4 linked regions of the Elephas maximus indicus genome follow. The protein of the gene in region 3 binds, or shares a complex with, the protein of the main gene of each other region. Links are inferred from orthologs where the notes say so. Each region holds a gene or a part of one and is shown on either strand. Other genes may lie near its edges. The genes, in order: FBLIM1, ITGA2B, FLNA and ITGB3.

Evidence for each region.
Region 1: the proteins of FLNA (region 3) and FBLIM1 are in contact, whole or in part, in a crystal structure (PDB 4P3W), measured with the Homo sapiens proteins. The link is inferred for Elephas maximus indicus from reciprocal best matches to the Homo sapiens genes FLNA and FBLIM1. Residues at the interface, in NP_001104026.1 of Homo sapiens: Met2207, Gly2208, Thr2263, Arg2264, Gly2267, Ala2268, Gly2269, Gly2270, Leu2271, Ala2272, Ile2273, Ala2274, Val2275, Glu2276, Gly2277, Pro2278, Ser2279, Lys2280, Ala2281, Ile2283, Phe2285, Cys2293, Glu2306, Phe2311; in NP_001337080.1 of Homo sapiens: Lys7, Arg8, Val9, Ala10, Ser11, Ser12, Val13, Phe14, Ile15, Thr16, Leu17, Ala18, Pro19, Pro20.
Region 2: the proteins of FLNA (region 3) and ITGA2B are in contact, whole or in part, in an NMR structure (PDB 7SFT), measured with the Homo sapiens proteins. The link is inferred for Elephas maximus indicus from reciprocal best matches to the Homo sapiens genes FLNA and ITGA2B. Residues at the interface, in NP_001104026.1 of Homo sapiens: Thr2263, Gly2267, Ala2268, Gly2269, Gly2270, Leu2271, Ile2273, Ala2274, Val2275, Glu2276, Gly2277, Ser2279, Ile2283, Phe2285, Asp2287, Arg2288, Lys2289, Gly2291, Cys2293, Val2295; in NP_000410.2 of Homo sapiens: Trp1019, Lys1020, Val1021, Gly1022, Phe1023, Phe1024, Lys1025, Arg1026, Asn1027, Arg1028, Pro1029, Pro1030.
Region 4: the proteins of FLNA (region 3) and ITGB3 are in contact, whole or in part, in an NMR structure (PDB 2MTP), measured with the Homo sapiens proteins. The link is inferred for Elephas maximus indicus from reciprocal best matches to the Homo sapiens genes FLNA and ITGB3. Residues at the interface, in NP_001104026.1 of Homo sapiens: Gly2236, Arg2264, Ala2268, Gly2269, Gly2270, Leu2271, Ala2272, Ile2273, Ala2274, Val2275, Glu2276, Gly2277, Pro2278, Ser2279, Lys2280, Ala2281, Ile2283, Phe2285, Asp2287, Gly2291; in NP_000203.2 of Homo sapiens: Lys742, Ile745, Thr746, Pro771, Leu772, Tyr773, Lys774, Glu775, Ala776, Thr777, Ser778, Thr779, Ile783, Tyr785, Arg786, Gly787, Thr788.

The regions. Positions count from the first base shown.
Region 1 is NC_064821.1:55,496,347-55,503,575, forward strand, and holds the start of FBLIM1 (filamin-binding LIM protein 1), read left to right. Parts: upstream 1-4,220; 5' UTR 4,221-4,289; intron 4,290-4,337; exon of another isoform or gene 4,338-4,413; intron 4,414-7,229. UniProt on the Homo sapiens protein: Serves as an anchoring site for cell-ECM adhesion proteins and filamin-containing actin filaments. Is implicated in cell shape modulation (spreading) and motility.
Region 2 is NC_064837.1:50,890,005-50,897,705, reverse strand, and holds the start of ITGA2B (integrin alpha-IIb), read left to right. Parts: upstream 1-4,690; 5' UTR 4,691-4,700; coding exon 4,701-4,888; intron 4,889-6,526; coding exon 6,527-6,648; intron 6,649-6,739; coding exon 6,740-6,837; intron 6,838-6,960; coding exon 6,961-7,126; intron 7,127-7,406; coding exon 7,407-7,456; intron 7,457-7,532; coding exon 7,533-7,578; intron 7,579-7,683; coding exon 7,684-7,701. UniProt on the Homo sapiens protein: Integrin alpha-IIb/beta-3 is a receptor for fibronectin, fibrinogen, plasminogen, prothrombin, thrombospondin and vitronectin. It recognizes the sequence R-G-D in a wide array of ligands.
Region 3 is NC_064846.1:2,091,868-2,098,862, forward strand, and holds the start of FLNA (filamin-A), read right to left. Parts: upstream 3,005-6,995; 5' UTR 2,883-3,004; intron 1-2,882. UniProt on the Homo sapiens protein: Promotes orthogonal branching of actin filaments and links actin filaments to membrane glycoproteins. Anchors various transmembrane proteins to the actin cytoskeleton and serves as a scaffold for a wide range of cytoplasmic signaling proteins.
Region 4 is NC_064837.1:53,123,298-53,130,474, reverse strand, and holds the start of ITGB3 (integrin beta-3), read right to left. Parts: upstream 3,018-7,177; 5' UTR 2,823-3,017; coding exon 2,744-2,822; intron 1-2,743. UniProt on the Homo sapiens protein: Integrin alpha-V/beta-3 (ITGAV:ITGB3) is a receptor for cytotactin, fibronectin, laminin, matrix metalloproteinase-2, osteopontin, osteomodulin, prothrombin, thrombospondin, vitronectin and von Willebrand factor.

The sequences.
Region 1 (7,229 bases), on a different chromosome or scaffold from region 3:
TGTTCCGAAACCTCTATCCTCTATGTGGTGGGAAAAAGGAAGGAGTTCATTTCTGGACACCTACTAAGCACTAGGCATTTTTATCCACATTTATCCCATCAAGTCCTTATAACAAAGCCACAAAGGAGGTACTGCTACCCACAGGTTGCAAGAGGAAGCTGAGGCTCAAAGAGAAGTGACTTGCCCAAGGTAACAGGCCAGCAGAGTGGAACCCCTCACAGACACTGATGTTACTCATATCTGTGACTGTCCCCCACCCCTGCGCCTGTGCGATGACCTCTCACTTCTCTGTACTGCTGCACCCCTGCCAGCCCCTACCATGAGACCTGACACACACTAGGAACTTGGGAAATAGGTGTTCAACTGACCTGACTCCAAGCAGGCAGACTGGAGGATGAACGAAGGACGGGGGGGAGCCCCTGGGAGGGGAGGCCCGGGGTCTTCGGAGGCTGTTTGCCAAGGGTGGACACCCCACTCTGCAGTGTAACCTCATGCAGCTGCGCAGCCGGCACCCCCAGGCTGGCGCAGGGTAGCTCTGCTCTGACCTGGCCAGAGGGGAGCCTGCCAAGGGGAGGGGCAGCTAGGCAGATGCTTCCCTCCAGGTCCCTCACGGGGGCTGCAGCTCAGGGAGCCTGGGAGAAAAATTGCATGACCACAGGCTAGCGGACACCTTCACCCGGATCTCCCCAGGCTAGTCTTGATTCTTGGAGAGGAGAGTGCGGACTGTGTGAGCAGAGAGCTCTGGAAACCAGGAGAGAGTGATGCGAGAATAACAACTGCTTCAATTTGTGGGCACTAACTATTTTTTAACTATAGGCCAGGCCCCTTCAGTGCCTTTGTCCCTAACAGTCCTGCAGATGGAATCTTCATGTCCCCATTCGAGGGCATCCAGTCCAGCTCCCCTACTTTACAGGTGAAGAAACAGAGCCTTGGAGGGGGAGTCTTGTCCAAGGTCACACAGACAGCACCAGAGAGCTGGGCATTAAGCCTAAGTCTGACCCCAAAGCCCAGATTTTCCCCATTGCTCCTTCTCCCTGGAACGTTTGCCTCTGTTCTTCTCATCCACCCCCGTCTGTCAGTTTATTGTATTGTCGTGGTGCCTTGCATGTTGCTGTGATGCCAAAAGCTATGCTACCAGTATTTCGAATCCCAGGAGGGTCATCCATGGAGGACAGATTTTAGTGGCACTTCCAGTCTAAGAAAGAGTAGGAAGAAAGGCCTGGCAATGAGCCTATGAATTACAACAGAATATTGCCTGAAAAAAAAAAAAATTTTTTTTTATAGCACTGGAATAAGGTTAGAAGGAACTCAAAATACACGGTGGCTATAACAGCGGACTCGAGCAATCATGAGGGTGGCACAGGACTGGGCAATATTTTGTTCTGTTGTACATAGGGTTGCCATGAGTCGAAGCCAACTTGATGGCAACTAACAACATTCCTCTCATGCCTGGCTCTTCCTCATCTCAGCTTAAACGTCATCTCCTCAGAGAGGCCTTCCCTGAGCAGCCCCTCACCCCTTATTCTGTCTCAGCCTCTTCTGTTCCTTCATAGCACGTTTTACTCTTGGTAGTTAGTGGTATTAACTTGCTTTGCATGTCCGTCTCCTCCACCCCCTGCAAGTATGGTGAGGACAGGACTTGACCCCCACTGGCTCCTCAACTTGTGTCCAGCACATAATAGGTACCTGACCAATGTTTGTTGAGTCAGCACCAACCACCCTCTGTGGGCAAGCGGTGCCCTCCTCCCCAGCAGTCTTGGGGAGAAAAAAATCCCACTGCCCTCGATCTTGTCCCCAAACCTCTCCCCTACCCCGTTCCTGCCACCTGGGGTCTCACCTGCCACAACCCTAATAGAGGACTGGCCCCCCTGGCCCACCAGGCCATCTGAGGGAGAAGAAAGCTGGTCTGAGCCTGGCAGGGAGGGAGGCAGGGAGCAGGACTCTGAGCTGGCAGACAAAGGGCGTGTGTTCTCGCCCAGCCCACTTCCTGGGTTTCCATTGCAGGAACCTTGGCACCTGCCGATCAGTGACACCAACACCCAACACCCGAGCTGGTACAGGAGACCCTTGGCAGGACGCTCCTCTCCACCCAGGAGCAGCAGGGGAGGTGGGATAGGCAGCCGGGGGCAGGACGGCAGGAGAGTGGTGGCGTCTGGGCCCCTGCAGCACCCTGAGACCCTCTCAAGCCAAGCTCAGTCTGGATGTTGGGAGGCCTGCATTCTAGACTGTGTGACCTTGGATAAGGCCCCCAGAAAACCAACCTTTCTGTGCCTCCGTGTCCCCACCTGGGGTGCAGTGAGGTAGCTCAGGGGATACTGTCGGGGTGAAAGATGGCAGCTCCATTTTTATCTGTTTGAAATAAGTTTTCTGGGTCAAATCACTGGAAAAGGGGGTTCTATGGCCAAAAGTGTCTGAAAACCCCTGGATGGTGCCCTTCCCCCTGAAGGCCTTTTCAGCTCTGGCACTGAGTGGCTCCCTCCTTTTTCCTGTGGAGGGCATACGAAGCTCACTCCAAAGAGTGCTGCTAAGTGGGCGCACAGTTGCCACTCTAAGGGACTGAGCCCAAGCAGCCTGAAGTCCGTGTCTCACTCTGCGGGTAGAACTCTAGTCCCGTCTCCAAACCTCTGTAAAGGGTGGCAGTCCTGCCCAGCCCTAGGGCTAGCACAGCAGTGATACCCACTGGTCTGAGGTTGAATCCTGCTCCGCCACTAGCCCTTCGTGTGGCCTTGAGTCTCTCAGGGCCTCAGTGTCCTCATTTGTGACTCAGGACTGATCAGTTCTCCCGCACAAGGCTCTCATGGGGATTCAGTGTAAAAGAGGCACTGTAGGTGACCCACCAGCACAGAAGAAGCCCTATACATGACAGCTACTATTACTGCTGTTTGGAAACCCTGGGTGGCCTAAACAGTTAAGCCCTTAACTACCAGTCCAAAGGCTGGCAGTTTGAACCCACTCAGAGGCGCCTCAGGAGACATGCCCCACAATTTGCTTCCGAAAGGTCACACAGCCTTGAAAACTCTATGTAGCAGTTCTACTCTGAACACAAGGGGTCGCCATGAGTAGAAATCGAGTCTGTGGCAAGTAGCAACAATTACTGCTGTTGTTATTGGGCAGCGGCTGTGAAGATCAAATGAAAAAAGGGGATGAGAAGGGGAACAACGGAGGGGGTCACAAGCAGTGGGTGAGGGATCTAGGAAGGTAAAGGAAGAGAGCATGGGATAGGGTGTCTAGGTACCCGTCTTAGCCCCCAGGAGTGAGTCCCTCAGAGCAGCCCCAGAGCTATCCTGGGGGTGCTGACTGTCCCTGCAGAGCCCGCAGGGGAAAGCCAGCCCTGCCTGGCCTCCCCACAGATGGCTTCAGCCACTGTGGCTTTAATCAAAGGAACAATCTGCCTCTGAATCAGACCCAGATTCCTTTTCCCAGCAATGTTCCTGAGGCCTCTGGGGACCCAGGCGGCCCATCCCAGCTCCATCTCTGGCCCCTCCCCTCTCCATGTCTTATCTACTCCAGCCTGGAGGGGGACAAATTCAGGGGGCAGGAGGGAGGACATCAGTGACAGGCCCAGGCGTGGCAAACCAGGTGACCTGATTGCCAGCTGAGCCCTGTCTCCCAGGCCCGCGGCGCTGGGTGAGGCGTCCCTCCTGGAGAGGCCTGTCCCTCAGGCCACTGGGGCCCACATGTAAAAGGCTTAAGGGGCACAGGACAGCAAACCAAGGTGACTTGCTCCACTGGGGATCTCAGAGACCCCCCCGCAGCCCCCCCCAACACCCCTGAAAAAGCCCAAAGCCCAACATACATCACTCCTTGCTGTCTATATCACCTTTTACCCTCAGGCCTACCTGGAGAGGCAGGCTGTTATCTCCATTTTACAGATGAGGAAACTGAGGCTCAGGGAGGTAGAGTGACTGCCAGCGTCACACCGTTAGTGGGAAGCCATACAACCCAGATCCTCCTGACCCTCCTGACCCTGGGAAACCCCAGCCCAAACCAGGGATATAAGCACCCACCTCCATCTGACAGAACAGGTCGGGCCGCGATCCAGGTGACCTGGGGGAGGGGAGAGTGGAGTAACAACCCCTCAGGGTCCACAAAGGACTTGGGGGGTTGGCCACAGGGAAGGTCTCCTGCCCCCCAGGCCTGGGCCGAGGGGGAAGGGAGGAGTGGTGGAGGGAACAAAGGGAGGGGGAGGGGGGAGGGGGAGGGGGCGGTGCGGGCGCGGCCGGGCAGGTGGGGGCCGCTTCCGCCCGGCGGGGATCCCAGACCCCCTCCCCACAGCGTCACCTTTTATGGTAAGGCGGCGGCGCGGGGCGGGGGGCGGAGGGAGCGAGGGGCGGGGAGGCGGCGGGGCGGGAGTGCGGCGGCTGGTTTCGCCGGCTGGGGCGTCGGAGCAGAGCCCCGGGCGCGGCGGCCCAGGTAAGCGGGTGGGGGGGGGATCCGTCCTCCGTCCCGTCCCTGCCCCGCCACACACAGGTGACAGCGCGGGCAGCCCTTGGCAGGAGCCCACCTCCCCTCCAGCCGGGACCCCAGCCCCGGCGCTCCAGGAGGGGGCCTTCCGTCTCTGCCCTTCGGTCTCTGTCCCCGGAGTGGGGGAGGGGGGCGCAGGTTTGGGGGAGGGCTCACGGCGGGGAGGGTCGTGTCCCTGCCCAGGAGCCGGCGCCAGGAAAGGGGCGCGCAGGGCGGAAGCTCCCGCACAAAGAGCCAGCGTCCCGCACATGGATCGAATTAAAGTCCCTGGCCGGCGCCCCACAGCGACCCGGCCAGCCGCCCTGCCCCGCCGCCTGCGGGAGGCCGCCGGGCTTTCTGGAGCTCCAAGGACTCCGGGCCCCTCTTCCCAGCTGGGGTCAGGCGAAGGGGGGAAGGGGCCCAGGGCAGCCCCTCTCGGGCCTCGGATCCCCGTCGGGGGCTGGGGAGACGAGGGATTGGGCGGCCCCTAAGGTGTGTCCCCTTGGGGTGATCTTCACTTCGATCCTCCCGCATCCCAAATCTGAGGACCCCAGGAAGAGGCTGGGGCAGCGGCTACATTCCTGCTCTTAATAATGGTGGAAACCAGGTCCCAGTTCTCTGGGACCTCCAGCAGAGCCCAGAAACCCTCCACCCCGCCCCAGGCCCTTGAGGTCTGAATAACCAGCTGTCCTCCTTCGCACCTACCAAGCACCAATATCTCGATCACTCACTCCATTTATCCTCTTAGCCACTATTCAAGACAGACCCCTTTATTCTCATTTTATGAAAAAAAAAACAAGGACCAGAGAGGGCCAGTGACCTGCTCAGGGTCACCGAGCAAGAAAGAGGTGGGCACAGTGTGAACCCAGCTCTGAGTGCTTCTCTGGGGTGGGAGAGAGGGAACAGGAACCCCTAACCAGGGCTATAGGCTCCAAATGGGGGGGGGCACAGTCCCACCCCCACCCCCAGCAAAGTTTAATTCAGGACCCAAACACAGGCTACTTTGTGAGGGTGCTAAAGAACAAAGCTTAGAGGTGGTTCTGGGCGCTGGGAGGAAGGCGGACAGCAGAGGGAGGGGGCTCTGCCTGAAGCGCCCCCCTACCAGCCAGTCTGTCCTCGGCCCCGGGGCTGTAGGCTGGGTGGCTGGCTGGATCACAGCCTCCTTCCTTCCTCTTAACAGGAAATGACTCTCCCTCCCTTTGTTCCCACTTTCTTTGCTTACCCAACTGGGTCTTAGATTCACCTTCAGGGAGAGGAAGGTTAGGGATGGAGGATCCCCTGGGCCCTGCTGGCTGGGAGGCTGCCCCACAGGGAACTTACTCCCTCTAGGGTGATCAGGGAGGCAGTGGGCCAAAAGGAAGCTGGGCCTCCCATCCCCTCCTGGGGCCTTACAGGGCTTTGAAAAGCCCCACCCAGCTCAGGCCCTTCCCTTGGGGCCTGGAGTCCCAGCAGTAACCACTAGAAGGGAGGGGGCAGGGGGCTGCCCAGCTGTGCACATCTGGCTCCAGGACTGGAACATTTACCCCCGGAGTCTTCCAAGAAAGCAGGCGACTCAACTTCCCAGAGCGGGTGGGCTGGGGGATAGGGGTCAGAGCAGGGCGAGAAGGACGTGAAAGGGCATCCTGAAGGTCCCCAGCAGTCTCTGGAGACAGCCCAGAATGTGCTCACCACAGGATTTTTGCTCTGGTTTGGATCATTCTGGGGCGAGAACAGGCTGAGAATTTGGGGGCCCTAGCGACGCAGACGGCAGTGGGTTAGTGACATTCAGGGAAGAAAAAGCATGTCTGAGGAAGACGTAGTGTGTCTCCGCGGTCATTCCCTGGACCCTGTGGTCGGATGGTGCTCTGTTAGAATTCCGGGTCTGCCATCGATGGCTGGGACCAATGACTTAATGTCTTGGGGCTTACACTGTAAAATAGCTGTGTTGGGAATTAGGTGAGCTTTGAGGCATGTAAAGCACTCAGCACAGTGCCTGGCACACAGCAAGTATTCTTATCAGTGAGTGCCATTGTTGTTTTTATTATTGTAATCTTGTAGTCACCAAAGAGAGCCCACGAGGGCTGGTGAACTTTGAAAGAGGCCCATGACTGGCAGTTGGACTCCAGGTCCACCATTAGGGTCCTTTGGGGCCATGTCAGGGTGGCATAGCCCGAAAGGGGGAGGTAGAAAAAGGGCATAGTGTTATCCCAGGGCACAAGCCTTGGGTGCCTGGGGAAGCTCCTAAGCTGGTGTGACTGACTCACCCCATCCCAAGGCTCGGCCTTGGTCGCACACTACTGTCTGCAGAAACCACCTGAGAGATGGCAAATGGCCTTCCCCTGACCCTCACTGTGAGCCACCCTGCCCCCACATCTATGATTTGGTGCCTGCATTGTGAGCTGGACTCTGCAGACACAGCTGAAGGCACACACTGTCAGGGGGAGAGGGCAGACACGTGGAGAGTGAGCCAGCATGTCGTGTGACAGGGCTGTCATCACCCTGTGGAGGCAGACAACTGACCTCCCTGGGGAGGTCAGGGATCAGGGGAGCCTTCATGGAGGAGGTGATAAGCTCCTGGGCCTCTAAGGATTAGCCGAAAATTCACCCTGTGGGAGTGGGAAAGGGAAAACAGGTGGCAGAAACACTCAAAGGTAAGTAAGGGAGAAAGGCACCATCGAGGAAGAGTGAGTGGTCTAGGGTGGTCAAAAAGAGGCTGAGGCCAGAGGAATTCGGGCTTTATTCTGATGGTAGTAGGGAGCAATGGAAGGCTTTTGGGTAGAGGTGAAACAGACAGATTTATGCTCTAG
Region 2 (7,701 bases), on a different chromosome or scaffold from region 3:
CCTCAGGCTATCAGCCCTAATTAACACACTGAACCAAAGGTGCTTGCATTGCAGGTCCCATTCCTTTGGTGTAGTTAGTTCCTTCTTTGGCATTTCCCTAACCATTCCTGAGGCTACAATTGATTGAGTGGTCACCTGAGAGGAAAACCAAACCCTGCTTATCTGGGCCAAGGCTCGGTGTTCCTGGCTTTCCTCTCGAATTCCCAAAAGAAGTAGCGTTTTGAGTTTGAGAAGTAAGTGCTGGGCAAAGGAGGTTCTTGATTGTCCCCTACCTGTTAAGTGCTCATCATCTGACTCAGAAGCATTATTTTTTGGATGACTAGCATTAGAAAAAATGAAATGGTCTGTTTCAAGTGACAGGACTCATTTTTCTTTGTTTTCAGCCCATGTAAATATTTAAATAATACAGTATTAACATTTCCGTGCTGCTTCCCTTCAGCTTGTAGATCGAGCCATGTTCTGGCCTCTCTGCCTTCCTGGAGGCAGTTTTCTTTAACTTCCAGAATAGTGGTTTTAAAACTTAAAAAAAAGAAGGAAAAACAAAATGACCTTACTTACAAGCGTAACAGACTGTATTTAACTTTATCACATATGATAGAGATATATATGCTGTAAAATGAGGGAAAGAACTTTCTAATAAACCAATGATTTGTGGAAACTTAGCAGAGTCTGTCGTGATCGTTCCCTGTTCACTCAAGTTGGGAAAAGATGGAGTTGTGGATTGTAAGTAACATCCTGTTTAAAGTGACCAAGCAGTAGACTCTTGTGAACCAGTTGTTTGTGATATTTGAAACTGTGCCTCTCAAAGCTTGGACTGCCCACTTCAAAGGCAAAAGATGGCTGTGGGCAGAAGTAATAGGAGTTGTGTTTCTCTCAGTGTTAGGTAAGTGTCTCTTTCTGCTCCCTCTTTCCCCGTAAGAACTTCTGTTTCTTCCCTTTTTCTTAAATATATAATCTATGTATGGCATGTAGGTGCTCATTAAATGGATTTGGAATTTCTGGCTTTGATTTTTAGGATTTTGGATGGACTTAAGGCCAGTGGGATTACAAGATTGATCTACCTAGTCTTTGCCCTCCAGGTGGAGTTCTGTATACCAGGCTTGGCTTCCTCTCCTCAGCCCTTTAATGTCACTGCAGTCAATACTTGAGAGCCTCTGCTTAGTATAAGGAAATACATCCCAACTGTTACTGAGCCGATAAAAGCTCCTACTTTTCTGTATCAAAAATCACAAGAGGCAGGGAAGTTTAGCGTGGAAAACTAACCACAGATTTGTCGTAATAGTTTCCCCTCTCCTTAACCTTTCAGGAAAGAAGACTGGTGTTCATTTCTTTCCTAGTGTCTTTGATAAAGCTATGCTCTGTCCACCAAGGAGAAGCTCTTAAAACCCTGGGTTGGGTGCTCAGATCTGACTGTTTCCTAAAATGGCAAAGATCCCTGCCCAGAAGGAATGGATGTTAGAAAATATAAAAAGTGAGTTTCTGAGAGCGGGCAAGCGTCCTTGTTCTGATAAGGGTTCCACTTCCCTCCCAGCCACCTGAGCTTGAATCGTGAAATTACTCCATCTTCTGTACCCCCCATGACTAATTCAGGCGTAGTCAACCACTTCCGTTCTTATTTGCAAGAGATACTCTTATTAACTCATGTTGGAATTACTGCAGCATCTTCCGGGCTGGCCTCCCTGACTCTAGGAACTAATAGCCTGCCCCATGTAAGTTTACTCGCTTTTTAGAATCTGAGTTCAATTAATTTTGTATTCACTGCTTCTGGTAAAATTGTAAACTCTGAGAGGACAGAAACTGATTGTTACACTTCCTTTTTCTTATCCCTTAGGATGTCTTACGTAGAATTGAGCACATGTAAACATTTTGATTGTATGTTCAAGAAGACAGGAGTAAAGTAAGATACCACAAACCATGGATCATGCACGAGGATTCAGTAAGGGAACATTTGAAGATAAGAGATTTTTCTCGAGCCTCCACATCACCTGGCTCAGAGCCAGGCACATAGAAGCTCAGTAATTTGTTGACTAAAATAAAACCTTAGTAGAATTCAAATTCAGTGAGGGATTCTTGGACTCAGTCTGATGGGATGAGAAAGTGGGACCAACGTGTCAGCACTTCTCTGCCAACTATCAGAAGGGAGATCAACCCAGCTCTGACTCCATAAAAATACCCGTAAGAACTAAACAACTCTCCCTACCCAAATCTGATCACCGTCTGTATTTTCAACTCTAGTTAATGATGCCACTGTCTGGCCAGACACCAAAGCTAGTAGCTACCTTGGATCCCTCCCTACACATCCAGTTACTGATTCTGTCATCACTTTTGTTCCTGCCATTAGTACTCGGGCTCAGACCTCATCACCTTTAACCCAGAGGATTGCAGTCACTGTCCATCTGGTCTTCCCACTAAATCCTTTTCTTGCCATAGGCAGCCAGTTTAATCTTCCAGATCAAAGCACAATTGATCAATGTATCCCATCCCCTGGCTTTAAAAATCTTAGTGATTTTCCATCTCGTATGGGTTAAAGTTCATTTTCCTTAATATGGCATTGAAGAACCTCCAGTGGTTTGATCCCAGCTTTCCGTCTCACCCTCGTGCAAATTCACCCCTTTGAGCACCCTATGCTGAGTTAACTAGTACTTGCTTTTCCCTATAAGTGGCTTTTGTTGTTCTGCTGTTCTTTTATGTTATTCCTCTGCGTAGAAACTCCTTCATTCTCAGACAAAAGGCAACGTAGTATAATGGTTAAGAACATGGACTCAAGTGCAAACTTGTGTTTGAATCCTAGTTAGTGGCACCTATTAGCTGTGTAACTTGGGCAATTTACCTAAAACTATGCACAGTTACGTGTGTTCATGTCTTAACTCCCTCTGCACTAAGTTTTTTAAGGATCTTTGATAATGATCTCTGTATCACTCAGTGCCTTGAACAGAACAAGTACTTATTGAAAGTTGTAGTGGACTATGAATTAATAAGGAGCTCTGGTAGCACAATGTTCAAGCTCTCTACTGCTAACCAAAATGTTGGCAGCTCAAACCCACCAGCCGCTCTGCAGGAAAAAAGACCTGGCAATCTGCTCCCATAAAAATTACAGTCTATGAGGCAGTTCTACTCTGTCCTATAGGTTCACTATGAGTCAGAATTGACTAGACCACACACAACAGCAACGTGAGTTAATAGCAGCTCAGTTGAGGACAGTTGGGAGGGTGAGTAGAGGACTGGGTTAAGGATTCATTCTAACAAATGTATTGCAGGCCTGCCAGGAGCTTGGCACTGGAAGTCAGCAGTGAAGAAAGCCCAGATTAAAGTTGAAGGAGCGTTTAACCTAGCTAGGGATAGGATTTTGAGCTGTGTGCTGAGATGGTGAAGTATGAGGGGAGCTGAAAGGATTCCAGAATGGCACAGGGTAGTTGGGCAGTTTGATCAGAAGGCAAGTATGGATGAAGAGAAGAATGTGGCTATGTTGCCTTTACATCTAGACTTCTTGAATCTCCTTGAGAACAGCTTTTTTGGGAAGGCATGCAGTGCCAGTTAGACTTAGCACTCCTGTCCTCTTCCCCGTATCCACAGAAGATGACCTTGCCTTTTTGCTCAAAACTCTTTCTTCTTTTCCCACTGTGTGACCCTGTGTTTGCATCTTTATCTTTTTGTGCATATTTCTGCTCAGTCTTTCTTTTAGTCATGCATACTACATATTAGGCCCTGGGACTGCAGAAAGGAACCATGCTTTGAATTCACAGACAAAATCCAGTGAACAGACCATGATTATATAGTGTGGTCAGTGTTAGCTCTGGGTGCCAGCCCGAGGAGTTGGAGGAAACTTCCCCCAGGCGATGATCCCAGCAAAATCAAGTCTTAATGGTTAGACAAGAACTTTGTCACCCAAAAAGGAGCGAGAGCCTGCCTTCAACTGAATAGCTTGTACATAATCTCAGAGCCTGTGAACCAGAATGCCCTGGAATAATTTCAAATTGTACCCATTTCCTTGTCCCTTAGGCCAAGGTCCATTCACTGTCCCCCCTCCCAACACTGGCTGCACTGCTCTGGCAGCACTGAGACTTGGCCCAACATGGACAAGGAGTGAGGAAGCTGCTGCCTCAGTATGGCTGGCTGAGGCTGTCCAAAGCCCTAGAAGGAAGAAGTGATTAAGTACCTTATCCAAAAGGATACAGCAGCCTGAGGTCTTATCAGGAGGCAGCAGCTTCCTTCTTCCCCCACTTTTGGCCAAGTCAATGCGCCATAGCAGCGCAGCCAGCTTGCGGGGGGTGGGGGGCAGGGCGAGGCCAGGCGGGAAGGTTGTAGAACTGTGGGCTATAGTGGAGGCGTACAGACCAGTTAATTCATGATTGTACTATCCCAATAAAAAGTAATGGTGACTTGCACTAGAGTGGTGGTAGTGGAGATGGAGAGAAGATTCAAGAGAAATAATTGAGAGGTAGAACCACCAGGAGTTGGTGATAAACTGTTCCCAGGGAAAGAGAGGAGTCATTCCTCTCAGCCCTAAGCCTCACCCCTTTCCTGGCAATCCTGGAGAACACATGGATGTGTGCAGGGGCTGTATAGCCCTTTGCTCTATCCACTGCTCAGCAAGTTGCTTTGGGCCCCAGCTTGATAAGAAATGACTTCCTGTGGTGGAAACTGAAGGAAAGAGGAAGAAGCTGGCCCATTTCTGCCTAGGAGATTGTGGGAGAAGGAAGATGGCCAGAGCTTTGTGTCCACTGCATGCCCTCTGGCTCCTGGGGTGGGCACAGCTGCTCTTAGGACCCGATGGTACCCCTCCAACCTGGGCCTTGAACCTGGACCTGATGCGGCTCACTGTCTACACAGGCCCCAATGGTAGCCACTTTGGGTTTTCACTGGACTTCTACAAGGACAGCAAAGGAAGGTGAGCCTTGTGGGAAGTTTGGGGGTTGGGAGAGAGAAGGAACCCCAACCTGTCACTGCTTCTGTGAGCCCATTTCTGATGGAGGTTGAGCAAGACGATTTATAGGGTCTATAGGGTCTCTATGGTCGGAACCCACTGAACAGCACTGGGTTTTGGTTTGTGGCTCAGGCTGAAGTCTGGTTAGAAATAGTGGGCAGGGACCAGCTCAGGTGAGAGTGTCAGGGAGAGGACACCAGGGAGGAGATAGGCACTAAAACTACAGCAAGAACAAAGGGAAGACAAAAGTTGATTTATTTTTTTTCTCAAGGGTCAGTTGTAAGACCCACTCCACTTTCCTCCCCTCAAAATACAGAGAGGTGCACGTCTTAAGTTGACTTGCAAAACTGTAAAATAGTCTGCTCCCACCTTGCAATTCTACTCCATTTCCCTTACCAAATATGCATATTTGAAAAGAAGCAATAGAGCATTAATGGTTGGGATTGATTAGGCCATGAAATCAGACTGCCGAATTCCCCCCTATTAATAGCTGTGTTACCCTAAGCTACCTAGGTAGTGTGGTGGACACTGTGATGTCCAGCTTCAGGAAGTAGCAAGGGCAGACAGGCTTCAAATGTCAGCCCTTTGTGAGATTTCCTCTGCTGAAAAGAACCACCTTGCCCAAAGTCAAAACCTTTCCCAAGGTGGCCCACTTCCACTGACTGACAACTCGTGTGTGTGTGTGTGTGTGTGTGTGTGTGTGTGTGTGAGATAAGGGTCTGACTGTGATAATTTTGAAGGGTCTTTCTAGCTCCACGGCATGGAGGGGAGGGAAGGAGAGTTGGCCCAAGTCTTTCTTTGGACCTGCGTATGAGTTCCACTTCTGCCCACTCCTTTCACCTCCTTTCTACAGGTATTGGTTTCATGGGTACTTCGGAAAAAAAAACCCTGAATGCGTTTTAAAAAAAAAAAAAGCATTTTGTATATTGAGCATTACTATGTATTTGGTTGGTACCATGCCAAATGTCCCTCACACATTTACTCCTCATGACAACAGTGATTGGCTGGTATTGTCCTCATTTTACATAGGAAAGGTTAAATGACTTTGGACAAAGACAGTAAATGGCAGAGCTGTGATTTGAACCTAGATCTGCTAGGGTTCTCAGCTCTATCAGCAACCTTCCCCCACCCCCGCCCCCCACCCCCAGGCGCCCTCTGGCTTTCTTCATTCTTCACCATTAAAATCAATTCTCAGAAAGGGATCTGGTAAGGAATAGTCTTCAAACGAACATTGTAGGGAGCATCTGAACCCCTGGCTTTTGGTGGGACGGAAAGGGAGAGGGGATGGAGGTAGTGTGCAGAGCTTGGGAGGTCTTTTTCATGAGGAATAGCAAAACCCTCGTGTCCAAATCAAACCAAATGGTTATAGTGCCAGCTTTAACCTCAGTTCGCTGTATTGCTTTAGGAAAGTGATTTCCTCCCAGAGTCAGTTTCACTGTCCATAAGGTGAAGATGCTGGCCTCGACGGTCTGTGAGGTCTTGTTGAGGAAAGCTGGTCCAGGCCCCCACGGCACACCGTCCTCTGGGCAGTGCTTCCAGCGTGGGCACTGGGCATGGGCCACGCGGGAATGCGTGCAGCGCTCACCCAGCTCTCCTTCGCAGCGTGGCCATCGTGGTGGGCGCCCCTCGGGCCTTGGGTCCTAGACGAGAGGAAACTGGCGGTGTGTTCCTGTGCCCCTGGAAGGCCGAGGGTGGCCAGTGCACCTCGCTGTCCTTCCACCTCAGTGAGTCCGGAGCCAGGAGGGACGGAGGAGGGGCCAGAGGGGGCGTGGACAGCCGGGCTTCAGCGCCCCCACACCTTCTTCTGTTCTCCAGCGGATGACAACCAAAACGTAGGCTACCAAACCCTCCAAACCTTCAAGGCCGGGCAAGGACTGGGCGCGTCGGTCGTCAGCTGGAGAGACAACGTTGTGGTGTGGCCGCGGGATAGGGGATAGGGAGCAGGCGGGGCCGGGGATACGTCTGGTGGGAGGAGTGAGGTGGGGCCTCAGTCCCAGCCCCGCGCCCTTCCTTACTCCTCTGTGGCCCTGCCCCAGGCCTGTGCTCCCTGGCAGCATTGGAATGTGCTAGAAAAGACCGAGGAGGCCGAGAAGACGCCTGTAGGTAGCTGCTGGGTGGCTCATCTCCAGAGCGGCAGCCGGGCGGAGTACTCGCCCTGCCGGGCCCGCACCATGAGCAAGATTTACGAACAAAATCGTTTTAGTAAGCTCCGCCCCTGCTTTGGCCCCGCCCACTAGCTGCCCAGCGCTCTAACAAAATCGGGTCGCTTTGAGTCGGAATCGACCCGACGGTTTTTTTTCTTTAGTCTAGTCCCTCCCCCAGCGCGCCAAAACTCTGCTTTCAGTCTGGTTTTGCCCTTTCAAGGTCACGCCTCTATATTACTCCTGGCCCCGCCCCATGGCCCCGCCCCCGCCGGGCCCAGGCTCGGATCCACGCTTCTCGATCCGCCCCTTCACTGACCCCACCTCCTTGCGCCCTCTAGTGCTGGACAGACGCTACTGCGAAGTGGGCTTCAGCTCAGTGGTCACCCAGGCGAGTACCGAGCGTGAGAGGCGTGGGGGCGGCCCAGGAACAGGGCACCCTCTCACCTCCAGGGCTTCCCTTTTAGGCTGGGGAGCTGGTGCTTGGGGCCCCCGGTGGCTATTATTTCTTAGGTATGTCCCTCATCCCATCTGTACATCTCCCGCCTTTCTCCCAGCTTCCCCACCTAAGGGAGACCCCAGACATCTGGGCCCCCACACCCTCCCCCTCCGTCTTAGGGCTCCTGGTCCGGGCTC
Region 3 (6,995 bases):
GGGCTTAGGCACCTGGGTTCCCCGCCCGGGTCCCTGCCTCCCCGGGTCTCTGCACCCCTCCGCGGCAGAGGCGGATTAACCAGTAAGCAAGGTAAGCACGGGCTTAATTGTGTTTACTTACTAAACTGTAGTGCACAATTTCACAATATGCGAAAAACAAGTGAAATTCTGCACCACGGATTAGTAAGTAAGCACAAGTAAACCTGTGCGTACCTTGCTTATGGGGTAACCTGCTCCCAGGCTTAAGGCCTGGGTGCCCAGTAAAAGGCCTAGTCTGCCCAGCAGACACTCCAGCAGCATCTGCCGGAGCCGGGGCGGGGCGGGGGGAGCTGGGGCCAGGCTCTCTTCAAGCCCTCTGCGTGGAGAACACGAGGGAGTCACGGCTGGTCGGCGGCCCAGCCCACAGGCCAGCCACCTCCCAGGCCCCTGTCCCCGCTGGCCTGGCGAGTCTGCCGGCCCCTGGCCTCTGCACCTGTGCTGCCCGCTGCCCACGGCCCTCTGCCTGCCTTCCTGCCCGCCCGAGGAGGAAATGGGGCATTGGGCCAGGAGGGCAGTGGCAGGCGCTCCAGGAGTTCCCAGCCAACCCTGTAAGGGGCCAGGAGTGCCAATGAGCGCTGGCAAAGGACAAGGCGTGATGCGAGTGGGGACAGTGAGCCAGCCCACCGCACCACACCACCCACCTGGGGGACCAGATGGGGAGGAGGGGGAGGTTTGCTCTCCTGGTGGAATGACCCCTGAGCTGAGTGCCCCCCAGGAGGGATGGGGGTAGCCTTCCAGAACCAGAGGGGCCTGCTGGGGGAGGGGAGCCTCAAAGAAGACTTGGCAGGCTGTAAGCACTGGGGTGTGAGCGGCTTTGGGCAGTGTGGCACTGCAGGGGTGGCCAAAGGAGAGGGAAGCCAGGGCAAATGTGGGGGCTGAGGAGGGCCTGCCGAGGTGCTGGGACTATGGCCCAAGGGCAGTGGGGAGTTCTTTTCTGGCTGATAACTCTGGAGACTGTGGGGAGGCCCTGGGAAGACAGGGACCGGCAAAGCCCAGGGCATCCTGTGCAATCACAACACATCCCCTTCTCTTATGTATTTTTTTCCGGAAAGGCATGTCTATGGCCCTACTGCTCGATTCTTCGATGGAGGCACAGGCTAGTAGTAATTCCTTTCTCTGCTAAGACCAGTGGGAGAAGGAGGCCTGGGTCCTCCAACAAGTCATGCCCAAATATGGTTGATTCTTACTTGGCCCTGGGTGTCTGCGTGACCTGCAGTGGGGCTGGGATCTCCAGCCAGCATCTCTTCAGCCTCCCAGCATATCTCTTTCCGGTTGTCTGTCACCCCACTGAGTTTTCTCCACCAACGGTGGTGGCAGGGGGTCCAGATGGCATTTTCCAGTACTGAGGTCCACCCTCAAATGCTCTGCCCCTCTCCTGAACACTCTCAGACACCTGTAGAAAATTTCCCATCCACCGTGTCTGAGGGCTGGGGTGTAGGAGGGAGGGAAAGCTGTAAAGGGGCACCCAGATGAACCCCTCCCTGCCAGGCCACGGGTTTAGAGTCGTTCTTCTGGTCATCTTCCCCCTCCCCTGCTTCCAACTGGAAAACAGGCTCCAGGGATGGCAATCAAGAATTGATTCTGTGTCCACTAAGTGCCATCCAAAGGGACCATCTGTGTTCATTCCTTAACCTTCAAACAGAGGGCAGGGAAACTGAGTCAGAGCAACTATCCAGTGGTCAGCTTCAGCAAACAAGGGGACATAAGTTGGATGTCCTGGCTTCCAGCCCTAGGCTTTCCCTATTTGGAGAGAGGGAGGGGTGGGAGTGTAGAGGGTCCTTGCACCCAGAAGACAGAGTATCACCACCAGATGGCGCTCCATCTCAAAGCCCCCAGATCGGGCAGTCTGGGGAAGCCAAAATCCAGCTCTTTCATATTTTCCCTTATTTGGAGTAGATTCTTGGATGTTAGGCACACCCAGCCCCCACCCCAACCCTGGCCCTCAGACCCCAGGCCTGGCTCTCCAGCTATAGCCCCTAGTGCAGAGGCTGTTCAGCTGGGACGCCTATGGAGCCAGCTGGTTCTAGGCCTGTGTAGCCAGGGAGCACTGGGAGGGAGAGGAACAGCCAACTGGCACAATGAAAAGAGGCCTGGGCTGGCACAGCGAGTCTAGGTGAGGCAGGGGAAGGCGCCCATTTCCTGAGCACCCTTCTCTGTGCCCACCTTGGTTGTGCCACCCAAAGCACCACATACAAACGGGACAGTCAGCTGACTTCACCCACTTCTCCTGGCCCCAGTGGCATGGGAATCTGGGGCCAGAGCTACTCACATCCTGGCTGGCAGGGAACATCCAACTCAAAGCCAACCTGGGATGAGCCCAGCCAGTGAATCTGGCCTGGCGGTGCCTGGCCACACCCCACCACAGCTCCATAGAGCCACAGAGCGCAAAAGCCCAGGAACCAGCTTCCCATGCCCTGGCAGCTGGTGCCCTGTGGACTCGTGCCCTCCCAGCAGGCACACTAGCTACAAGGTGTCCTTCCAGGTGTCCACTCACCCTCAACCCACACAGGGTCCTACCCTCTGGGTCCTTCCTTCTCAGACAGCCTTGAAGCAGCAGTCTCATGGACACCCACGCCTGCACCCATCTCCTACCAAACGTTCAGGGACTCCCATGGCCTTGGGCTCCCAGACTCCTGACGCACACACCGGCTGGTGGGTAAACTCGGGGAAGCTGCTCCCGGGCACCACTCCTGGTGTCCTGCTGACGCACCCCAGCTCCACCTGGTCCGGGCCTGGGCGCGTGCTGGCGCCTGCGTTCTCTAAGCTTCTCCGCCCGCCTTGCCACCCTCGCCCCGGTGCAGCGCGGCGCCTGTCCGCGCGGAGCCCGGCCTCCAAGATCTTACCTGCTGTCCCAGCGGGCGGCCGGCGACCGCGGGGTGGCGCCTGGCTCGTTTTCGCGCCCGTGCCCGGCACCTCCTGGCTCCGCTGGCGTCCGCTGTGCGCCGCGCGCTTCCACGCGAATGGCCCGCTGCCGCCCGCCTTCTTGTTGGCCTCACCCCCGCCCCGCGCCCGCCCCGCGCACGGCCCGGCCCGGCCGGGCGAGAAAGCCTTAATTGGTAAAAATCGCCCAGGAATCGGGGGCGGGGGTGAGCGGCGAGCTCGAGCGCCTGGGCCGCACTGGCGACACCGCCCCCCGGGATGAGCTCACCACCCGGCGAGGGCCGCCAGCACGGGCGTGGGGGGACGTCCCGAGCTCCCGCAGGGTCGGCAGGGACCACACCGGCTTGCTGAGCTTGGGGGGGCCAAGCACTCCCCACCGGAAAAGGCCCAGCTCTGAGGCCACCTCGTCCAGGAAGTCCCCCAGAGCCATGGCCCCCTGCATGAGGCCTGCCTCTGCCCCAACCCTGGGCTGGCAAAGCAAGTCGGTTTCCGCTGCCCTGGTGGATGGGGAGGGGGGCAACAGGCAGGTGCAGGTGTTCACTGAGCACCTACTACCTGCAAGGCTCCAGTGGGGCTGGACTAGAGTGACTCTGAGGCCAGGATGAGCCTTATGAATCTGACCCCGCTGGGTGCCAGGCGTGGCCTGGAGTGGGCAGCTGAAGCATATTGGATTCTGAAGACTTCCCCCGGCCCATCCCACCTGATTAGATGCAGTCCCCAAGCCTGGGAATGAGCAGCCTGTCTGTGATCAGAGTGGGCACAGCCACACCCTGGCATAGCCATGCTCCTTCCTGTTCTGTGTGCCTGTGCTTGCCTGATAGCTTCAGATGTAAATCAAATGTCACTTCCTTGGGGAAGGTCACGTAAAACAGTATTTTTTAACATGTTTGCCCACAAACTGCAGTAAGAACCACATTTTACATCCTTAGCCAATGTATGTGCGCACACACACACACAAACTGAATGAAACAAAATGACTTGCAAAACGAGAGTTTCCCTTACTACCTACAAAGCACTCTGATATTTTCTATTCTACTCTACTTCCTCAGAAAAGGAGAAAGGAAGGGAGGAAGGGAGAAAAGAAGGGAGGGAGGAAGGAAGGAAGGGAGAAATGGGGAAGGAAGGAGGAAGGTCGGAAAGAAAAAAGGGAGGAAGGGGGAAGGAGGGAAAGAAGTGAGGAAGGAAGGAGGGGAGGAAGGAAAGGGGAAAGATAGGAAGGAAGGGAGAAAATGGGGAAGGAGGAAAGGAAGGATAGAAGGAAAGAAGGAAGGGAGGATAGAAGGAAAAAAGGATGGCAGGAAGAGGGGAAGAAACGGACAACAGGGAGGGAGGGTGTAAGGAACGAAATAGTTCAGGCACCACCTGCTGAATTAAGTTGCTGATTTACAGTTTGGGAAGCACTGATAAAGAGGCACTGATGGCCCTACTGGTCTTGCTGTCTTGGCTAGCTCTGCTTTCAAAGACCTTTCACACCTTGACCCTTACTGGGTGCTTTCTAACAGTGCCAGGGGTTCCCTCTCCTCCTGCCCCCTCTGGTGGGAGCGCCCCCAGCTGGGGAGGGCAGTGGGTTATCTTCACATGATAGGTGAGGGACCTGGACTTGGAGATGGGAACTCACAGACCGAGGAGGGGGCTGTGCTGGGGCTCACAGCCAAGGCGGTCCGTGGTTCATCAAGGAGGGAAACCACATGCCTTTCTGCAGCTGCGCTCCAAGCCAGGGGTACAATAGGTGGAGGGAGCACTAAGGAGGCAGTGGTTTCTTAGCAGTGTTCGGGACTGCCACCTCCGTGTGAAATCAACTACTGCCCCTCTCCCCCACCACACACACAAAACACATGCAGCAGCTCTGTCTCTTCTTTCAGGTCTGGGCGGAATAAATGTTTGTACAGCACCAGGTGTCCTTCGGTTGAAGATACAGGGAAACTACCAAAGTCAGCTGCATTCCTCCCACCAGTCATCCCAACAGTACCAAGATAAACTGACCTGTTCCAAGGTTGGAACACAACACTTTCCTTGAGAGACCTTTAGTCAACTAACCAGTGTTTTAATATTGGTTGTGACAGTGTTCAACATATCAATTGTCTCGCAACTTTTGTAACCATTGGAGCAATGTTTCAAAACATTTGAAAACTAGTTAAAACCCAAAGGAGCTTTAATACCCTTGAAGAGAAAAGTGTCTTTTAGCACTAAAAAAAAATCCTTATCTTAAAGAGAAACTTAGTAGCTCAGTGATCAATGGTTTGCTTGTACATGGATGCTGAGAAATGTATTTATGGTGATATATTTTTCTCCATTTTAACTTCTGATCTTGCTGGGATTCCAAGTTGTACAATCCACTGTTTAGAAGCCATTCTCCATCCTTAAAGGAGAGACTCATTTTTCTTATTCTTGCCTTAGAATCGCGGCTTCCACAGCCCATTACCCCCGCTGCACTGGCTGCTTTTTGTGACCTCTGTCTGCAATCCCTTTTCCAATTGTCCACCAGAGAAATTTGTCTTTTTCAAGGCTCAGTTCCAGTGTCTCCTTTGCCTGTCCTTCCCAGGACCAGCTCCTGGGAACAGTTTTCCCTCCTTGAGAGCTCTGAGGCTGGGCCGTGGAGCACCAGATGCTGGCTGAAGAAATGTTTCATGAATGAACTATTGGACTCGAGGTTCCGGACCCCACTCTATGTGATGGAGGTGCAGAGGGCATCCTAGCTCGGATGGTCAAGGCCTGACCTAGTGTCTGGTGGTCTGGGATGGAGCTGCACGGCCATGGGTGACCATCCACAGTTCAGCTTCCTGGTGCCCTCTGTGGCGGGACCTCATAGTGAGGACAAAAGGGGGGGGGACATAGGAGGCAGAGTGCTGAGGCAGGTGCAAGGGGGTGGTGTTCCCTGGGGAGAAGGCAAACCTAGAATTCCTTGACCTCATAAGGAAACAGCTTGCATCAGTATGGGGAGGGGTGGCACGGGGGAAGACTGAGCAGGCTGTAAGGGAAGCCAGAACCAGCATCTCTGGGAGAGGGGCCAGCATTGCAGAAAGGCTGAGAGGGGCTGGGATCTGATCTTGCCAAAACTCAAGATTCCACGAGGCTGCCTTTGCCCAGCTCACAGCCCAAACGGCCACCTCCTCCCCTGCCCAGCCCATGGCTCTCCCCTCTGTATAGGGCAATGTAGTGTCTTCAGGGACTCCAATGCTACTTGTCACAGTTGAGACAGAGCAGGGCCCCACCTTGATTCTAAAACTTGGGCAACAGCAACTCTTCGGAAGGGTCTTTGTCTTTGGTCAAACCATGGTCTCTCCTCTGGCCACTCCCCACGTGTATACCTCTTCCCCACCCTGAGCAAACCTCCCTGGAGAGCTGGTCTGCGGCCCGCACCAGCTGACCAGAGCCCCCTCTCTTTTCTTCTCCCCCCCACATGAGACTTGGGGCTAGCTCCTCTCATCCACTCCAGGGAGAGCCCACCAGGCAGCCCCACACTCCATGAGACTGGCTTTGTCTGAGCATGACTACCACCTCTTTCCTGCTCTCCAAGAGACAGCACTTTTCCTACCAAAGCCTTGCCTCCTCCTAGCCATACTCCACCTTACATCCACTGCCTGCCCTGGTTTGCTCCGCTCAGCCCCCATGTTTGCCCTGGCCTCTGTCTCCTTTGGCCACTCCTGCAGTGCCTGCATGTGAAAGCTGGACAGTGAATAAGGAAGACTGAAGAAGAGTTGACGCCTTTGAATTGTGGTGTTGGCGAAGAATATCGAATATACCATGGACTGCCAAAAGAACGAACAAATCTGTCTTGGAAGAAGTGCAGCCTAAATGGTCCTCAGAGGCAAGGATGGTGAGACTGCGTCTTACATACTTTGGACATGTCAGGAGGGATGAGTCCCTGGAGAAAGACATCATGCTTGGCAATGTACAGGGTCAGCGGAAAAGAGGAAGACCCTCAACGAGGTGGATTGACACAGTGGCTGCAACAATGAGCTCAAGCATAACAACGATTTTAAGGATGGTGCAGGACCAGGCAGTGTTTTGTTCTGTTGTGAATAGGGTCGCTATGGGTCGGAACCGACTCGACGGCACCTAACAACAACAACAGC
Region 4 (7,177 bases), on a different chromosome or scaffold from region 3:
CCTCCCTTCTCCCCACACCAGACTCTCCTGCTCTAGAACAGCCTTTCTATGCCACTCCCCCCCAGCCCTCTTCTGTATCCTTTCAACACTGTATGTCCCCAACATAGCTCTCCTACTCTCACCCCACCAGTTTCTTCCCAGGGACCTGCAACCCTACCCCCAACACTGGGGTTGTTGTTGAGTGCCATCAAGTCGATGATGATTCATAGTGACAGAGCAGAACTGCCCCATAGAGTTTTCTGTAAGGTAATCTTTATGCGAGCAGGTCTTTCTGTGCCAGAGCAGTTGAGATGGTTCAAGACACCAACCTTGAACTGTCTACCTTCCATTTAGCAGTAGAGCTCTTAACTGGTGCACCATCAGCGCTCCTAACACTGGGATGGGGAATGTAAATATAATAGAAACTGCTTTTACTGCAGGGTCTTTTACTCAGGGGTCTGACTCTAGAGCCCCTGCTCTTAAACACTACCCTGCCTTTCAGAGAGAGTCTGGGGCTAGCTTAACACAGTCCACCACCGCTGCTGAGAATCACCCCAGTCACACCAACAAATCAGTGAACACATCTCCTGAAGGACCTCTCATGTAAGGAACTGCCAACCAAACTTAGGTATGTCAATGCAGTGGAATTGTAATGGGCCATTACAACTGTGTAAACCACATCTACACGATATACTGGGGATGGGAGCTTGGGGGAGACAGCAAAATAACATATCTTCACCAACATTGAGCTAAGCACCATGCTGGGCACTATCTTATGTTATCTCGTTACTTCTTAAACTGTTAGGAAAGTATAATGATTATACACAAAAGTGAATTTAGAATGTTGTGGATGTAAAAAACAAAGGAAATGAAAGCAAAAAATGTTTTAAGTTCATGGAAGCAGTAGGAAACAGCTGAGTTGCCCTCATAGATTTCTCCATTCCCATCAACAGCAGCAGCATCTAACCCAACGTGCTAACATCTCCAGGGCAGAATGCTGAGGATTCATATTTCTGTGACAGTCATCAGGCTATTCACTACAGGCTGAAGATGGCTGGACCTGTGTTAGTCTCTATCACCTGGGAAGTTTCAGTAATGACAACCTAAGCAGCCCCCTATACATCAGTGGTTAAGAGCTTGGCTGCTAACCAAAAGGTCAGCAGTTCAACTCCACCATGCCCTCCGTGTGAATCCTACGGGGCAATTCTACTCTGTCCTATAGGGTTGCTATGAGTCGACAGCAGCGGGTTTTGGGGGTTTTTTTTTATACATCAACTATTCCATTAAAATATTGTCACCCTGTTCAGTATGATCTTTTTACATATATTGTCTATACATACATAGAGGAGTCTGGAAGGCATTCGCCAAAGTATTTTAAATTAGTTATCTTTGAAATGGACTTATCGATTCTTTTTTTTTAATCCCTTCTACTTGGTCTAAATTGTTTTACAGTGAGTATTACCGTTTTCATTAAAAGTATATGTATGAAAAAAAGACCAGACTTACAGGCCTGACAGAGACTGGGAAACCCCTAGAGATATGGCCCCTGGACACCCTTTTAGCTCAGTAACGAAGTCACTCTTGAGGTTCACCCTTCAGCCAAAGATTAGACAGACCCATAAAACAAAATAAGACTAAAGGGGCACACCAGCCCAGGGGCTAGGACTGGGAGGCCAGAGGGGACAGGAAAGCTGGTAATAGGGAACCCAAGGTGGAGAAGGGAGAGTGTTGACATGCTGTGGGGTTGTTAACCAATGTCATAAAACAATATGTGTACTAACTAATGAGAAACTAGTTTGTTCTGTAAACCTTCATCTAAAAAAAAAAGTACAGTAAAATTTTTTTTAAAAGTATATGTATGCACACTCGTGCGTCCTCTGAGGAAGGCTTGATCCCAGAGATTCCAGAGCAAGAGCTCTCCCGGGAAGATCACCAGGGTTCCGGAAGGACCAAGGGCAGCACCCCAGGGCTGTGCCTCACTGCCCCTTCACCACCCTCCCTGGCAATGCGACCAAACGTCGACTGCCCTGGAAGCTGATGATTCGCGCAGCAGCAGGAGAGACAAAGCCTGGGATCCAAACCAGCCCCAGGGACCCTTGCTATGACTCCCCGCATACCCTAAAGATTTTTCTGGTCCGGGGTCTGTCACTGAAGCAGAGGCGCTGCCAGGGTCACTGTAGGGGGCAGCGCCCTTATCCTGCTCCGAAACGCTCCCGCGGGGAGCCACCAAGTTAGAAAAACTTGGAAGTGTGGCACAGGGAGAAAAGAATGTCAAATAACTGGGGAACGCGCGGGTACACGCTAACTCGAGAAGCTACAAGCACATCCCCCTGCCAACGCGCGGGACAGCCCCAGACAGCCCACGTCGCCCCGGCTCCCGGGCCGGGCGGGTCTTCCCTCGCACAGCTGGGACCACCCGGGATGCTCGCAGCCAGCGCTCAGCACCGGGCTGGCTCGGAGCTGCGCCCACCGCACCGCGCGCGCCGAGGCCGCCCCAGCGAGGCGACCAACCTGGCCACCGGCTCCGGGGTCCAGGCCCGCCCCCTGGCACCGGTCGCCTGTCACCCCTGCCACCGAGGGTACAGTAAGGTCCCCAGCTCTGGACTCTGATGGCCCCAGCCGGGGCCCGGGCACTCCGAGAGCAGCAACGCGGGCCCGGCCCGCCTGAGTCTCCCGGCTCCAGGTCTGCAGACTCGGCTGCGGCGGAGCGGGGCGCAGCCCCGTGGAGAGCTTGTCCCTGCGGCGGGCGCCGAGCCTCACTCACCTCCGACGCCGACGCCCGCCAGCGCCCCCAGCGCCAGCAGAGCGGCCCAGAGCGCCCGGGCCCGCCGCCGCGCTCGCATCTCGTCCGCTGGCCACGCGCTCCGCCTCGACCGCGCCCGCCACCCCACAGCGAGCAGCGGTGCCCACGGCCGCTTTTCCCGCAGCCCAGGGGGAGGGGACGCGGTGGGTGGGACGACGGGGCGGGACGTGGCTTCGCGTTTCCTCCCGCCGGCCTTTTTCTGGACCCTGCGCGGGAGAAGGGGTGTGGGAAACCGCGGCTCCTGTCTTGCCGCTCGCCTCCGCCCACGAGGATCCGCCTACCCGCCGGCAAGCGGATGCCGAGCCAGAAAGGGTCGTGGGAGAACCTCCTGGTCCAAGGGTCGGCCCCCTGGCACTTGGCACACTCAGGAAGGCGGGGCGCCTGCGGGCCTTTTCCTGATCCTCCAGAGACACGCACAGGATTTCTCTTTCGTCTTACTCCTGCGGTACTTTCCATCGGTACCAGGAGTTTCTTTCATTCATTTAAGTGGCAAACATCTGTTGAACATCTACTCTGTGCGGCGTACCAGTTTAGTCCTTTATTATCTACTAACGTTTTCTTAGTGGCGCCCTGGTAGCACGGTGGTTAAACGCTGGGCTGCTAACTGAAAGGTACGGGGTTGAACCCAGCAGCCTTTCAACTGCTTCCGTAAAGATTACCTATGAGGCAGTTCTGCTGTGTCCTAAGAGGGTCGCTATGAGTCAGAATCGCCTGGAGGGCAACGGGCTGAAAGTCTTCTTGGATTAGTTTTGTTTCTTTAGACTGTAAGCTTCTTGAGGACAAGACCACACCTCAAGCTTGTGTAAGCAGTGATGTGTCCAAAAAGGGCCTCTCTGCACAAATATTGTAAATATTGCACATAGTAGATACCTGATTACCGTTTCAGGACACAGCCAGTGCACTGCCTCCAAACTCAAACTTACAGGTTTGAGGGCGTCCTTGTATATTCCTCACAGGCCTCCTGTCCACTACTCCGTAGGATCCTTCCTCTAGTCCCCTGGGTCTTCCCCAGAAAGAAAATCTTTGGAGGCTTAGAAAGGCACCCCTAGGGCTATGGCGCCCAGGGAGTGGCTGGGGGCGGGGCAAGCCGCTGAAATGGTTTAAAAACAAGCCCTGAGCGGCCAATCAGAGAGGGACAGAAAGTCTCTCCAGCTCCTGGGCTTTCCTAAGGCCTCTCAGGCTCCCTGCCCTCTCCCTAGACACACAAGATCTCTTGACAACTGGCCCTGACTCACTTATCCAGCCTTATCTCCCACAGAAGCTCCAGAACGTACTTATTCCCAGATCCCATCCTTTCTCACTGGTCTTCCGTCCTTCTTCCACCTAGAAAATTCCATCTATGTTTCAAGACATCTCAGATGTCATCTCTTCCTTGTAATCTTGCCTGACCTCCCCCCTTCTCCAGCACCAGCTGCACCATCTCCTCAGACCTCTCAGCACTAGGATACACATTAATAGTAGCACACATAACAAAAGTGTCACTAACCGTTTGGGAGGGAATAGAGGCCCAGGTAGCTGGGCTCCCTGACCTGGGCTTTGAGACTCCAGCTGCATCTACCACCCCAAGCTGCTGAGGGCCTCTAGACTGGAAGTCATTTCAACAGTGCTGGGAGTGTGAGGGTTAGAGATAGCTTGCAGCGTCTGGAGAAGGCTTAACAATGTGCAAATCTTTTTAAATCACTTTTGACACTTTACATCCTTGAAAATGTCATTGCCCTGAAGCAAAATTCAGGTCAGCGTCCTGGTTACCTCTCTGCCTAGCAGTTTGTATTGTAATTTGCTATTTATTTATTTTAAATTGAAGTAAATTTTACATACAGTGAGAGGCACAAGAGATGTGAAGTAGTATCTCGCTACAGAAAATTTTATCACCCCAGAAAGTTCCCTTGAGTCCTAGTCAATCTCCACCCTCCCCCCCCCATAGGCAACCACTCCAGTTCCGATTTCCATCACCATAAATTAATTTTGGTTTTTCTTGAACCACATATAAAATGGAATCATACATTATGTACTCTTTTGCATCTGGTTTCATTTGCTCAACAAAATGGTTTTGAGGTTCACCAGGTTGTTGTATATGTCAGTGATTCATTCCCTTTTTGTTGTTATTGTGATATATACCCAGACCCATATGTAATAAAATATCTTCCATTTCAACAAATAATTCCTTTTTCTTGCCGACGTGCCCCCATTATTTGTTGAGCACTTTCTTACTTTCTGGCACAGTAAGATGTTCTACGCTCATCTTGCACTTTCCCTACCCTAGCCTTGGCATCAGCAGTTTATTTGCTGAACCCTGGTTTCTTTTAGTGGGCAGCAGTATTTAGAAACCAGATATGAGTTTGTTGCTATTGGGATGTGTAATAAAGAATCAGACACCATTTTTTGATGTTTGACTGCTAGCATCTTTTAAGCCTCACCTCTCTCTCCTCCCCATCTGCCTCACACCTTGACAAGATGAAATGAAAGCCCAAATGCCCCCTTCTTTGGCACTGACAGACATCAAACCACATGAGGAAACCCTCAGCCTAGTCCCAACCTCTAACCACCATAAAAACCCCAAGCTTGTTTCCTTTCCTTGCTCTCTCAAGCCATTTTCAGACCTCCTTGGGAATCACCATGCTGTCTTCCAGAAAGCCTCATTATGTGAGTATTAAACCTTTGTGTAGATAGCCTCTTGGTATGGAGTCATTAGCCTTGTTGTTTGAACCAAATTTTGGATTGGGGTTCATTATTCATCTGTCGACGGCTATAAAGGGTGTCACTGATTATAGAGCCTCTTAGTAGACAGAGCTGGGGGGAGATGGGAACACACACATACACACACACACACTCATCTATATTTCTTTCTCTATTTGTATATTAATATAGTGGTTAAGGTGCAGCTCTTAACCACTGTGCCACCAGGCCCTAGCAAATGTGCCAGCAAGTTCTCTACTCTGTTCCCAGCCTCAGCAACTGTATTAGTTTCCTAGGGTTGCCATAGCAAAGTACGACAAATAGGGTGGCTTCTAAGAACAATTTATTTTCTCACAGTCCCTGAAGGCTATGAGTCTGAGACCAGGGTGACAACTGTACCATGATCTCCCTAAAGGCTCTAAGGGAAATCCTTCCTTGTCTCTTCCAGCTTCTGGTAGCTGCAGGCTTTCCTTTGCTTGCAGCTGCAGCATAACTCCACTGTCACTTTGCTGCCTTCCCTCTATATGCCTCTGTGTTTCTTCTCCTCTTTTATAGGATGCACCCCATTCAGTATGACCATGTGTTAACTGATAACATCTTCAAATATCCTGTCTCTAAACAAGGTCACATTCACAGGTACCAGGAGTCAGGAGTTCCTGCTGAACTCCCAGCCTTAAGGATGGGAAAGGGGCTAGTCCATTTACATTTAGTATAATAATTGATAATGGCATCCTGGTGATGCAGTGGTTAAGTGCTCAGCCGCTAACCCAAAGGCCGGCAGTTTGAATCCACCAGCTTCTCAGTGGGAGAACGATGTGGCACTCTGCTTTTGTAAAGATTATAGCCTTGAAAACCCTATGGGGCAGTTCTACTGTGTCCTGTGGGGTTGCTATGAGTGAGAATCTACTCAACGGCAGTGGGTTTGGGGTTTTTTTGGAACTGGCATTTTAGCTATACTTCTTTGTGGTGTGTGCTATGTGTGTGTGTGTGTGTGGTTTCTCTAGGAATTAAATATGCGTCCTTAATATATCATACATACTCTTTTTAGAATTAGTATTTTACCACTTCATGTAAAATGTAAGAACCTTACAACAGAATAATTGCACTGACAAAACACTACCCTCTATGCTGTCATTGTCAGACATATTACTACTAAATGCATTGTAAACCCTGCAATATAAAATTTTATTTTTGCTTTAAACAGTTGCCTCTTAAAGAAGTTGAATAAGGTGATAATAAATTTACCCACACATATTTACTATTTCTGTGGCTGCAGTTCCAAGTTTCTATCTGGTATCATTTCCCTTCTGCCTAAAGAACTTCCTTTAACAATTCTTATAATGAAGGTCTACTGGCAACGAGTATGCTCAGCTTTCATTTGTTTCACCCGCATTTTTTATGATATTTCTTAGATATCAATTTCTAGGTTGACAAGGTTTTTTTCTTTCAGTAGTTTAAAGATGTTATTCCACTGTTTTCTGGCATCCATTGTTTTTGAGAAAGTCATCATTTATATTCTTGTTTACTGTCTTTTCCCTCTGGCTTTTTTTTTTTTCTTTAACTTCTAATTTTGAAATAATCTTATAGAAAAGTTACAAAATAGTAAAGAGAGTTCCCTTTTACCCTCCACACAGGTTCCCCTAATGTTAACATTTTATATTGCTATATCATATGAAAGCTTTTTGGAATTGGAAAAACACAGAGGAATATGTTCTCATT